2 linked regions of the Arabidopsis thaliana genome follow. The protein of the gene in region 1 interacts with the protein of each later gene in a pairwise test. Each region holds a gene or a part of one and is shown on either strand. Other genes may lie near its edges.

What was found.
Region 2: the proteins of AT2G22180 (region 1) and GDU5 interact in a protein complementation assay, tested with the Arabidopsis thaliana proteins (one large-scale study listed by BioGRID).

What each region holds. Positions count from the first base shown.
Region 1 is NC_003071.7:9,425,896-9,432,350, forward strand, and holds AT2G22180 (hydroxyproline-rich glycoprotein family protein), read left to right. Parts: upstream 1-2,847; 5' UTR 2,848-3,073; coding exon 3,074-3,949; 3' UTR 3,950-4,246; downstream 4,247-6,455. Other genes in the region: PLAT2 (Lipase/lipooxygenase, PLAT/LH2 family protein), read right to left, coding at 1,115-1,591, 1,773-1,847.
Region 2 is NC_003076.8:8,582,785-8,587,227, forward strand, and holds GDU5 (glutamine dumper 5), read left to right. Parts: upstream 1-1,750; 5' UTR 1,751-1,880; coding exon 1,881-2,276; 3' UTR 2,277-2,513; downstream 2,514-4,443. UniProt on the Arabidopsis thaliana protein: Probable subunit of an amino acid transporter involved in the regulation of the amino acid metabolism. Stimulates amino acid export by activating nonselective amino acid facilitators.

The DNA.
Region 1 (6,455 bases):
GTTTTCTCGTCTTTGAAAGCAATATCTTCAAAGTCTTACGCGGCAATTCAAATAAGTCTGTTATTACTTTGTTGCATCGAATCATGTGATCGTTAGTTTAAAGGATTATCACTAGGTTCACTACTTTATCATTTTCTTCATTGTAGTTTATATGACATTTAATTTTCTGTCAATTAATATGATTGAATAAAACCATTTTAATCTGTTTCTTCTAATTTTTATGAGAATCATAAATTCTTTCTTTTTAGACAGTTACTATTATTAAGAAAGAAAAAAACATGTTCTAGGGGGATGGAGATTAGACATAAATATTTTGACCTTAACGAAGTCTTTGTAAATAAATATTATACAATCAGTAATTATCTTTTAAAGGCATATTGTCTATTTATTTTATGTCTAGCTTGTATATTGCTTTGTGGTTCTATAGATTATGTGTGCAGGGATGATCTTTTTCAATTTTCATTGAGGAACTTATTGCTCACACCTTCTTTTATAGATTTAAAAGACGATTAGGAGCATAGTGAGATTTATATGGTGCCTTAGGAGGAATTTTAAAGTCATTCATTTGATAATGGTTTTCAGTTATTAGTATGACCCAAAGAAATGTTCCGTTTCAACCAAATGTCACTTAATTAGGAGGTTTAGGCCAATACCAATTAATGTCGTTGATGTTTCTTACAAAATTGTAAGTTTCTTGTTGACTTTTTGAACATGCACAAAAATGATTAAAATTGTGAAGATCCACTCTGTATTAAATGTTTAAAATTACATCGAAAAATGTGAAAAGGGCCCATCTTTTATACTATTTGGCAAAGTTTTGATTAATCATAAGGTTGTAGCTTTGAACGTTTATTTGTGAAAATAAAACGAAACAAAGAAACTATATCAACCAGTAATTATCTTTTTTTCTTTTTAATATGATCAGTAATTATCTTTTAATTTCATCACACGAAAAACTTAATAATGTTTGATAAAAATCTCACAAACAACAAAGAACGGAACTTTTATTCGATCGAATCATTTTCATTATTGCCATCACACGTTCACAAGACAACAAAGAACAACTCTCCAAGTTACACACACACATACACATTTGACATTTCATTCACTACTCTCACACGATCCAAGAGAGAGTCTTCCGGATCTCAGACCCGACCCGACCGACACTTTCCCTAAGCGAAACTGGACAGTTATTCCGAACAGCACTGAGCTCATACGGCGATGTATCGGACGCAAGCCATTGCTCAACATCAAAGCTTTGGTACGAGCACTTTGCATGAACTCCGGCTGTCGTGACTTCCACGTAGTTAACATACCAACCGTGGTGGTCACCGGAGCCGTCAGAGGTCAGATTTAATGAACAGACTGGGCTCGGAAGACATGGTGCTTTCCCACTGAAAATGTCGAGATTACCCCTCTCGTAGTAGTTGTAACCTGGTCCCATTAAACCACCCCATGCTTCTAGGTTTCGGATCCCGATGTAGTCTCCGTATTTGTCGTAGACTCTAGCGCTTATGATCGAATCTGTACCGGCTTTGAAGGTTGATCCGGTTCTAAGGAAGAATGTGTAGACACAATCTGCTTCATCGTCCTGTGAAATCAAGAAAGTCATTTTTTTAAATGGGAAGAAACAGAAGTTTGTAGTCTAATAGTTTAAACTAATGTCATTGATGTTGTGTCATTATATACATATTCAAATCTGGTTAATGTGTGTGTCTAGTTCTAGACAAAATCATATATGAGAGGAAGCAAGTCAGATTTGGAAAACTTACGGCTAATGCGACAGCGGAGACGGTGGCGATGACGAGGAGGAGTGAGAGGAAGAGGACGTCACGGCGAGGCATCATCGGTGATATGGATGTATAAGAAAGAGAGATCTAGTCTATGGAAATATTAATAGAAATGTTGAAAATGCTAAAGTATATGAGAGTTTAGATTTCAATGATTTAATTATCGTCTGTTTTGGGAGTTGCGTATGAAGATGACGTGGTCGTTTTTGGTCCGTTGGAATGAGTAAGAAATAAGAATAAAAATACTTAAGGATCCTATAAGCACGTCGTTAACTCGGCGGACAGGTCGGCATGGGTTGTCAGATTTCGAAAAAAATTGCATATTTTTTTTTGTCACAAACGCAAATCTTCGTGAGATACAATACAAATGCACTTCATTTTTCGCCAATTAGAATGTAATGTAACAGTTTCCAGTGTAATGCTCGCAACATAACATGTTTCACGTGGATTGGGGCCGGGGAAGAATTAGAGAAACATTAATTTTTGTTTTTGCTTTTTGAAAGAAAACTTTCGACCATATGAAGGTAAGATTTCCTTTAATTTCCTTGATATTTTCATGTACATATGTTTGATTTATAAATGAAAATTAAGTGATTGTGTGTTTTTCAAAGAAAGAAAAATGAAATAAATTTTGGATAGTATTGTCAGCGAAGCAGCAACAAGGCCCACAAACATAATTTTGAATGGCCGGTTGCTGCGGATTAATGTGTGTAAATACATACATTCCGTTCATGTCAATCCCAACGTATATTCGTATATATGCATTTTTCGCTTTCTAAAGAAACAGAAGTTGCAAGAGAATTGAAATAAAAAACACTTTAATGAAAATTTGGTCCAGAAATACCACCCAAAAATGGTTTTAGTTCGAAACGTACAAAATAAAATAAGACTCGTTCATGATAAACATTACCAATATGTGCTAACCTTTTTAAGATTTTACTCATGTATGTCTTATATGCATATATAATTTATGTTAGAAAATCGATATCTTGTAAACAAAAAGTAACAACTTCGTTGATCATCATCAAATGCCATAATACTATATTATATGAGTTCTGTAATATAGTTTTCTAAATAACAGAAAAAGGGAAATTTAAGGTGAGCTGGCTAACTCTAAATAGCAAAATCTTCTCAAAACCAACCAAAAGTTTGAGTCATGCAACAACAACCACTTACTTTTCCCATGCAAACCCTAATTTTCGCATCCTCTCTTAATTCTCTCTCTTTCGTCTTCTCTGTAGACCAATCTCCACCACACATCTCGTAACTCCCACCTTTCTCCGATGGAGGGGCCACGGCGTCCTCCTTCCGCCACCGCCCCTGACTCTGACGATGACAAACCCGATGATCCTCCGTCCGTTTGGCACCGTCCAACCTCTAGCCTCCCCGCATTGCCATCTTTAGATCCTCCATCGCACGGTTCACACCATTGGCGTAATCATTCTCTTAATCTGTCTCCACTCCCAACGACATCTTCTCCGCCTCTTCCTCCTCCGGATTCAATCCCTGAGTTAGAGACGTACGTTGTCCAAGTCCCGAGAGATCAAGTCTATTGGACCCCTCCTCCGGAACATGCAAAATACGTCGAGAAACGCAGCAAGAACCCGGAGAAAAACAAAAAGAAAGGGTGTTCTAAACGTCTTTTGTGGTTCTTCATTATCTTGGTCATTTTCGGATTCTTACTCGGTGCAATCATTCTCATCCTCCATTTCGCTTTCAACCCCACTCTTCCTGTTTTCGCGGTCGAGAGATTGACCGTAAATCCTAGTAATTTTGAGGTCACATTAAGAGCCGAGAATCCAACGTCTAACATGGGAGTACGCTACATGATGGAAAAGAACGGGGTCGTTTCCTTAACGTACAAGAATAAGAGCCTGGGGAGCGGGAAATTTCCGGGGTTGTCCCAGGCCGCATCTGGATCCGACAAGGTCAATGTGAAGCTTAATGGGTCGACCAAGAACGCAGTTGTACAACCTCGTGGATCGAAGCAACCGGTTGTTCTGATGCTGAATATGGAGCTGAAGGCTGAGTATGAAGCAGGGCCGGTCAAACGGAACAAGGAAGTGGTGGTGACTTGTGATGTTAAGGTTAAGGGACTATTAGATGCGAAGAAGGTTGAGATTGTGTCGGAGAATTGTGAGAGTGAGTTCAAGAACTGACACTCGCTCTATATATATTTTATATATAACATGATTGTGTCGTTAGAGTTAACAATGTGCTTAATTAATTCATACTTTCTATGTAATGTTCAATTGTTCATTTTTTTTCCCTAATGTCTTTGTTTTTACTCTATATTGTTGAGCGACAAAAGAAAACGTGAACAAGAAGAACACAATAGAGTGAGCGTCTTTTTTTTTTTTTAAATGTACCTTTGCTTTTACAAATAAATTTAGTTTAGCCCAGATTACAAATAAACAGACTAGTCAGAACTTCTTAAAAACAGAAGATATAATTGGGCCTAAATGCAAAAGTAACATTTCACCTCCTAAGATTTTTCCTAGACCAAGTGTGTACAAGCAATACTCCGAAAACTTGATGGGATCATTCCCTCTTTTTTTTTTCTTTTTTTTTTTATCATTCTCTTTTTGATAAGATCATTCTCATTTCTCAGTGTTGTTAGTTTTATTATAGAAATGTAACTTACATTTTGGGAATAAGTGCCGTCTGTACATTTCTATTAGTTTAACTTTCTCTTTTTCTGTTGGAATGTAAAATTTAGCTTCAACAAAGATATTTATATTTTAATTAATAGAGAATTTCAAAAGTTTGAAAGAAAAGATAGACTTTTAAAAGAATGAAGATTGAAAAGAAACAAATAGACTTTTAGAAGAATGGAAGTTGAAAAGAAACAATCTTGATCAGTACTTCTTCCTTCGAGCCAACATCTAATGAGGTCGTGAAGACAAGTCATATTAAAATATAGGTGCGAGGAGACCCGATCTGTTATTTTGTCGATCACTAGAGCTGACGGTTTACTGTTTCGTACGGTAAAAATTGAATATAGTCATTACACTATCGCTCACAACAAACATAAGAGATAGAAGCTGAGAATTTTGATAGTGCCATTGACGAGGTGGGGTTGCATATGCATCCAATCAGGAGTGAGATGCGAGCTTAGTAGAGGACCACCAACTTAAGGCCACGTTTTGAAGGAGAAAGGACTCATAAAAATATATGATCTTTGGCTTCGTCGAATTCGCCATAGTCCATAGAGGTACTTGTCTGCGAATGCAACTACCCGTTTAGAGGCGAATGTGTTAATAAACGGAAATGCTTTGCGAGAATCTGGCCTCACCATCTTATTGTTCAATAAGTGGAATGTATTAATAAGAAAATACAAATTATGAAAGTTTATACAAAAATATTTTTATATTTCACCGCAGATTTCAAAATGCAATGTTCTTTTTTTTTTGTGCGCTAGTTATTTTAAATATACTTGATTATTTTAAAAAATCGAATATACATAAAGAATCATTTATTCTATACCCCTACCATCTACCAAGAAAAGGTTGAGTGGTCATTTTCGCGAAACCACAGTGGAGAAACAATAATTGTGTATAAAGATATTCCACTAGAAAGTGAAACAAATAGGTCCAATTATTTATTAAGGGCACCTTTGGACCATTTTCACAGTCCTAATTATGACAACAATATTGTTATCTTCTAGCAAGAATATAAAAAGACAAATTTTATAGTTTATTATAAAATGAATTCTTCATTTCGGGTAAAGGTTGGATATATAAAATTGTATAGAAACCAGTAATAATAGTTAGGATATCAAAGAACTATTTGATGTATGATGTTTTGCAAGACACTATATTCATTTATTCTATTTTTTTTTGTGAGCGTACCAAACAAATCAAATTAAATACTATTTTATGTATGATGTTTTGCAAGAGACTATATCATTCTAAACTAACTAGCTAATATTGAATTTCACACATTTTGGGATGAGCGCAGTATCCAACTCTATTTAATGCTTTAAAATTTAAACATTTGCAATCTTGATGTAAAATACAAACATTCTTTTATCATATAATTCCACATGGTCGGTTGGTTGGAACGCACGCCTAGGCCTCACTCTTATTTGTGTTTCTCTCTTTTCCTTCACACCACTACATTCGAAAGTTCCGATACAAAAGAAAATTTCCTTTTTTGTTACTTTAAATTTTGGTGTCTAAAAAAGTTGACTATCCAATCAAAAGACATTTAGAGTTTGCCAAAAGATTTTTGTTTTTAGTCCACCTTTTAGACATGTCACAGAAAATTATTATTCAAGTGAAGGGATTGGTGATCAATGTTTTTGCTCCCTATAATTTGGGCATCTAAGTCACATGCATCCCCATGTTACCAAGTAGTTTGGAACATCTCACAGATCAACATATACATTCATTTACTGAGTCAATACATTTAAAATTACATATAGTTTTAGGCTTTCTATGGCACTAGATAATTGAGTCAAATCAAGTTTTGTTAGAACCGTCTGATTTACTTGAATCTTCTCTCTCTATATATATAAACAAATATAGAAAAATAAAGAACGGAAGAGACATTAGACCATCCTTATTGCAAGTCTCTTACTATAAATCTTAGGTATAATATATAATCAAAATAATATGTGAATAGTTTAGAAAAAGTCCTTAGCTAAGAGATAAAAGAAGGTTT
Region 2 (4,443 bases), on another chromosome or scaffold:
TTTACCAAAAAAAAAACCTCATCAGAAAGGAGATGTACGTATGAAAAACAGAGTTCAATATAATCAGAATTCTTTCGATAATTTATGAAGTAAACTCTCAAATTTCGGATATTACAACACATATGAATAAAAACATTACTCATAACTCATAAGTGAGTAAGAAAAATAACATAATCCAAGAATAAGAGCTAATCCATCTTATGGTTCACTAGACATAGTTTATTCATTTAGAGATTGTAGATATATGGTTTATATTAATGTTCAAATATTAATCTAACAATTTTGGCAATCGACATGATTAAAAAATGAAATATATTCTCTTCCAACTATGGATACAAATAAAATCTATGGATTGTTGTTGTGGAATATTAAAAAGTAAACCCATATATAATTTACTGTTAACGGCAAACATCATTATCCAAATAGCACCATCGAAAAGACACATATCCCTGGCTTAGCGTAATAACAAATGGCCATGTGAAATTCATGGGCCCGAATAAAACACAAAGCTGGGCCCTCTTAATATTCCTAAATCCAAATAATCATATAATTATGTTTTCTGTTTGTCTCTCCCAAATATGATGTCGATAAAATTATAAGGGTTCGAATAGTTGCGCCAGTTAGGACGAACCAATTCATTTCCAATTCATTTCCGGTTTATACTACTTTTCTTTAGTATTTATGAACTATAATTTGTTGTCGTGTAAAAAATAGAACAAGTATGCGGCAAACTAACTATAGATTGTTTTTACGTAGAAAAAAAGCTTGATTTACATCAGTTTATTGTCCGTTCCAAAAATAGAAAACATTTCTCTGCTTTTTTTTATTGCAATCATTCAAAACCTAAATTTATAATCATTTATAACACCAAGAACATATATAAATCATCTTCACTCATAAAACATAAACAAACTACTCTACTTACAATATGCATAACCTCCACTAAATATATATGCATCCACAATTTACAAAATCATCATGTGGAAATTATCTCATACTTTAGTGTAATGGTTTTAACTGTTATATCACTTATAAGAAATCAGCTTAAAATTACTCGTATATGGGGCTTGTAGACTACCTTAAACTCCAAAAAACTAGATTTTGAAGCTCTAAATTGATCAATTAAGATGTATAGTTGGCCACTCTTTCAGCTGATCGATCATGTATATATGAAACAAATCTACAACGAATAAGTAAAACAATATTGCTTGTTTTTCAAGACGCAATGGAATTCAAGAGATCAGTCAATTCTACTAATAAATAATTTTCTAAATAAACATGATAATTTATCTATTTTTGTAGTTGTCTTTTGTCAACAAATGTCATCTTCATAAATGATTTCTTTATCCAAAAAATCACAAATTCATTGCCATAAATAACATGGTAAGATCACATATTAAGTTGAACAAAAAAGGGATCACATTTTCAAATATCTACCTCATATTTTTTTTTGTTATAATTTCTGACACGAGGAGATTATGGAACTGTCTTTAACAAATAAAAAAAGGGATTACGGAATTGAGATCTTAAAGTTTGATTATCCAAAAAGGATTTTATAAACAAAAAAATCAAGGTATATATCTAAATGCAAAAACGTATGATTAAATATCTTCGAACCTGGTGCATGATCAAAGCAACGTAACGTATCATGAAGATTCCGTGACCCACTTACCTTCAATTTTGTTTTATAATAATATTGTGAAATATTTATTACATCTCTTCCCTCTATTGTTCTCTTCCAGTACTATAAATAAAATGTCAAACCACTCCAACAAAATCAAACTAGCTACACAGTTATAAAAAAAAAGTATAAGCTTCACAATTTTCAAGCTTCTTCTCCTCTGTTCTTTAACAAATCCAAGAATAAGAAATATAAAACAATGAGGCAATTTCCAAGCATAAGAGGAAACATAAATGAGAAGATGATGACAACAATGGTGGAGTCTCAGACACGGTCTCCGTGGCGTACACCGGTTCCTTACCTATTCGGTGGTTTAGCCGCCATGCTTGGACTCATAGCCTTTGCTCTCTTGTTGCTCGCCTGCTCCTACTGGAGGCTCTCGCGGCAGACAGAAGATGAAGAGAAACAGACGGAGTCCGGTGAGAAAGTGGTGGCTAAGGCTTTTGAGGAGAAGATTCTTGTGATCATGGCTGGACAAAACAACCCTACCTTCTTAGCCACTCCGGTCGCGGCCAAGATTTGCCTGGATTGTGTTAATATGGAGAAGAAAGAAGGACAAAATGGGGAATCTAAAGTAACAGAAGAAAACCACTGACTACTGAGCTCTGTTCTCAAGAGTGTACTTTTTTGGATTCTCTGTTTTTGTCGGTTTGTTTTTTGTTTGTTGGGGAAGTAGTTTTCCTCTGTTTTTGTCGACCTTGAGATTGTAAATTTTCATTAGAGTAGTAAATGTGAACAAAAAAGTTGAGAAATTTCGGGTTTCTATGTATAAATGTTGGTATATGAATATATTTTGCTAAATTAAAGGTATCAATGTGTCATTGTTTTGATCATTAATATTTCCAAATTAGTTTTGAGAGTATATCTATATCCTGCTATAGCTTAAAGATTTACTTGTAAAACTAAGAAGTTTAGCTACATTTTCATGGCCGAGTGGTTAGCACTCTAAGTTAGAGGAGCATATATTTGGCCAAGACCAGGGGAGTGATTTCCGTTCTGAACGTGTGAGCCATCACTGTGTCTACGTGACTACTGAAGACATCTTTACTGGTCAAAACACTTGATTTTTATTGGGTCCAAAATAAATCAAAATGACCCAAGTTAGCAAACAAAAAAAACAAAAAAAAATATTGTGTGATGGGAAATATGTAAACAAATGGAAGTTGATTTTTAGTTTATTTTGTAAAAGTTACATAATTTTAGTCATTTTTTATAAAATTAGAATGTTATTTTATCGGAGAGCTTTTTTTCCGAAAAGTTTTCTCTCTATACCAGCTCTTTTTCTCCTGGTCATTTTTTTCGACAAAATTGTGGCTCCGACTAACGTTCGTGGACTTCCAAAGCCACGACGTTGGTTCGGCTTAAGTTTTTAGGTTTGTTTTTTTCTTTATTTGGCTGGGATCTTTTGGTTTTTCTGCAGAGTATCTGTTCTCATAATCAGAGTTCTTTGGTCTATATATGCATCGGTCCTATGCCAACTGTCTAAGTTGTGGTTGGTGAAGCGGTATGGACGACCATCTCTTAAGCTTCTCCACTCGATGCTCCCTTTAAATCTGGGCGAAATCTGTTTTGGTTTGGGATTCCTTTCACCGGTAAAGTCGATGGTTTCGACATCACTTACCAGGATTTTTCTAACAGTCTTTTGTACAAGTTCGAAACTTAACGGTTAGGATCTAATGGAATTTCATGATTGTACTTTTGAAGTCTACTAATAAGCAAGTGAGACATGAAGATTGAGAGGTTATGCTTAGATTTTCATATTTTCCAATTTCAAAATTTCTAGCTAATTAGATAGTTGATATTTTTGCAGTTAGATCATTAGTTTCTCTGTTTGGTTTAATTATGTTTTTCATTTGTTTCAAGTTTTTATGTTTCTTCTGGATGGGGCTGTTGGCTCCGGAAGTCCGTTATACTAGCCGGTTTTGTATACCTCCTTAATTCGATAAATAAACATCAGTGACCAAAAATAAATAAATGTTATTTTACCTTACGACATTTTACTTTACATGATACCTACCACACATGTAATCTGAACGAAAAAACCTATACGCTAACATAGCCATACATAAGCGTTTTTACTATCATGTCATTTTTTGCAAAATTAATCATAATTTTAACTCAGGTCCTGAATGTTTTATAGTTTTTAATTGGTTTTTAGTTTTCGGTTTTTGAATTTTGGTTTTTGATTTTTGAAGTTTTTGATTTTTGTTGTGGATTTTAGTTTTTGCAAAATCAAGAATGGAAATTTTTTTATATTTTTTTTAACTCGAATGGAAATTTATATAATTTTTAATTTTTTTACTTAATCTTAATGTTTAAACATTTTTAAATTGTGTATTTTATCTTTGGATGAATTGATAAATGGTAAAAATAGCATAATTAAATAATAATAGTAAATTAAAAAAAAAGGGTTACGTAAATTGTTTTAAAAACCCACAAAACTTAGTTTTTAGATTCTATGAAGAAATAGCTAAAAACTCCTAAAATCTAGTTTTCCTATTTTTTAAAAAATCTACTTTTTGTAGAAGAATGAATGAGTAATTATTTAGTTTTTGCAAAATCAAAATAAAAAAACTACTTCAAAAATTGGAACCATTCAAGGCCTCAATCATTTGTCCATTTTTAATCTAAACGAAAAAACCCACTCCTTTCATTTGTTTCTTTAAATTTCTGCAATGTTTAATTTTTATTAAAACTTATGTTCGTTTCTTTCAAGTCATCTAGTTTAAGAATAGTACAAGAGCACAGTACGAGTGTACGAC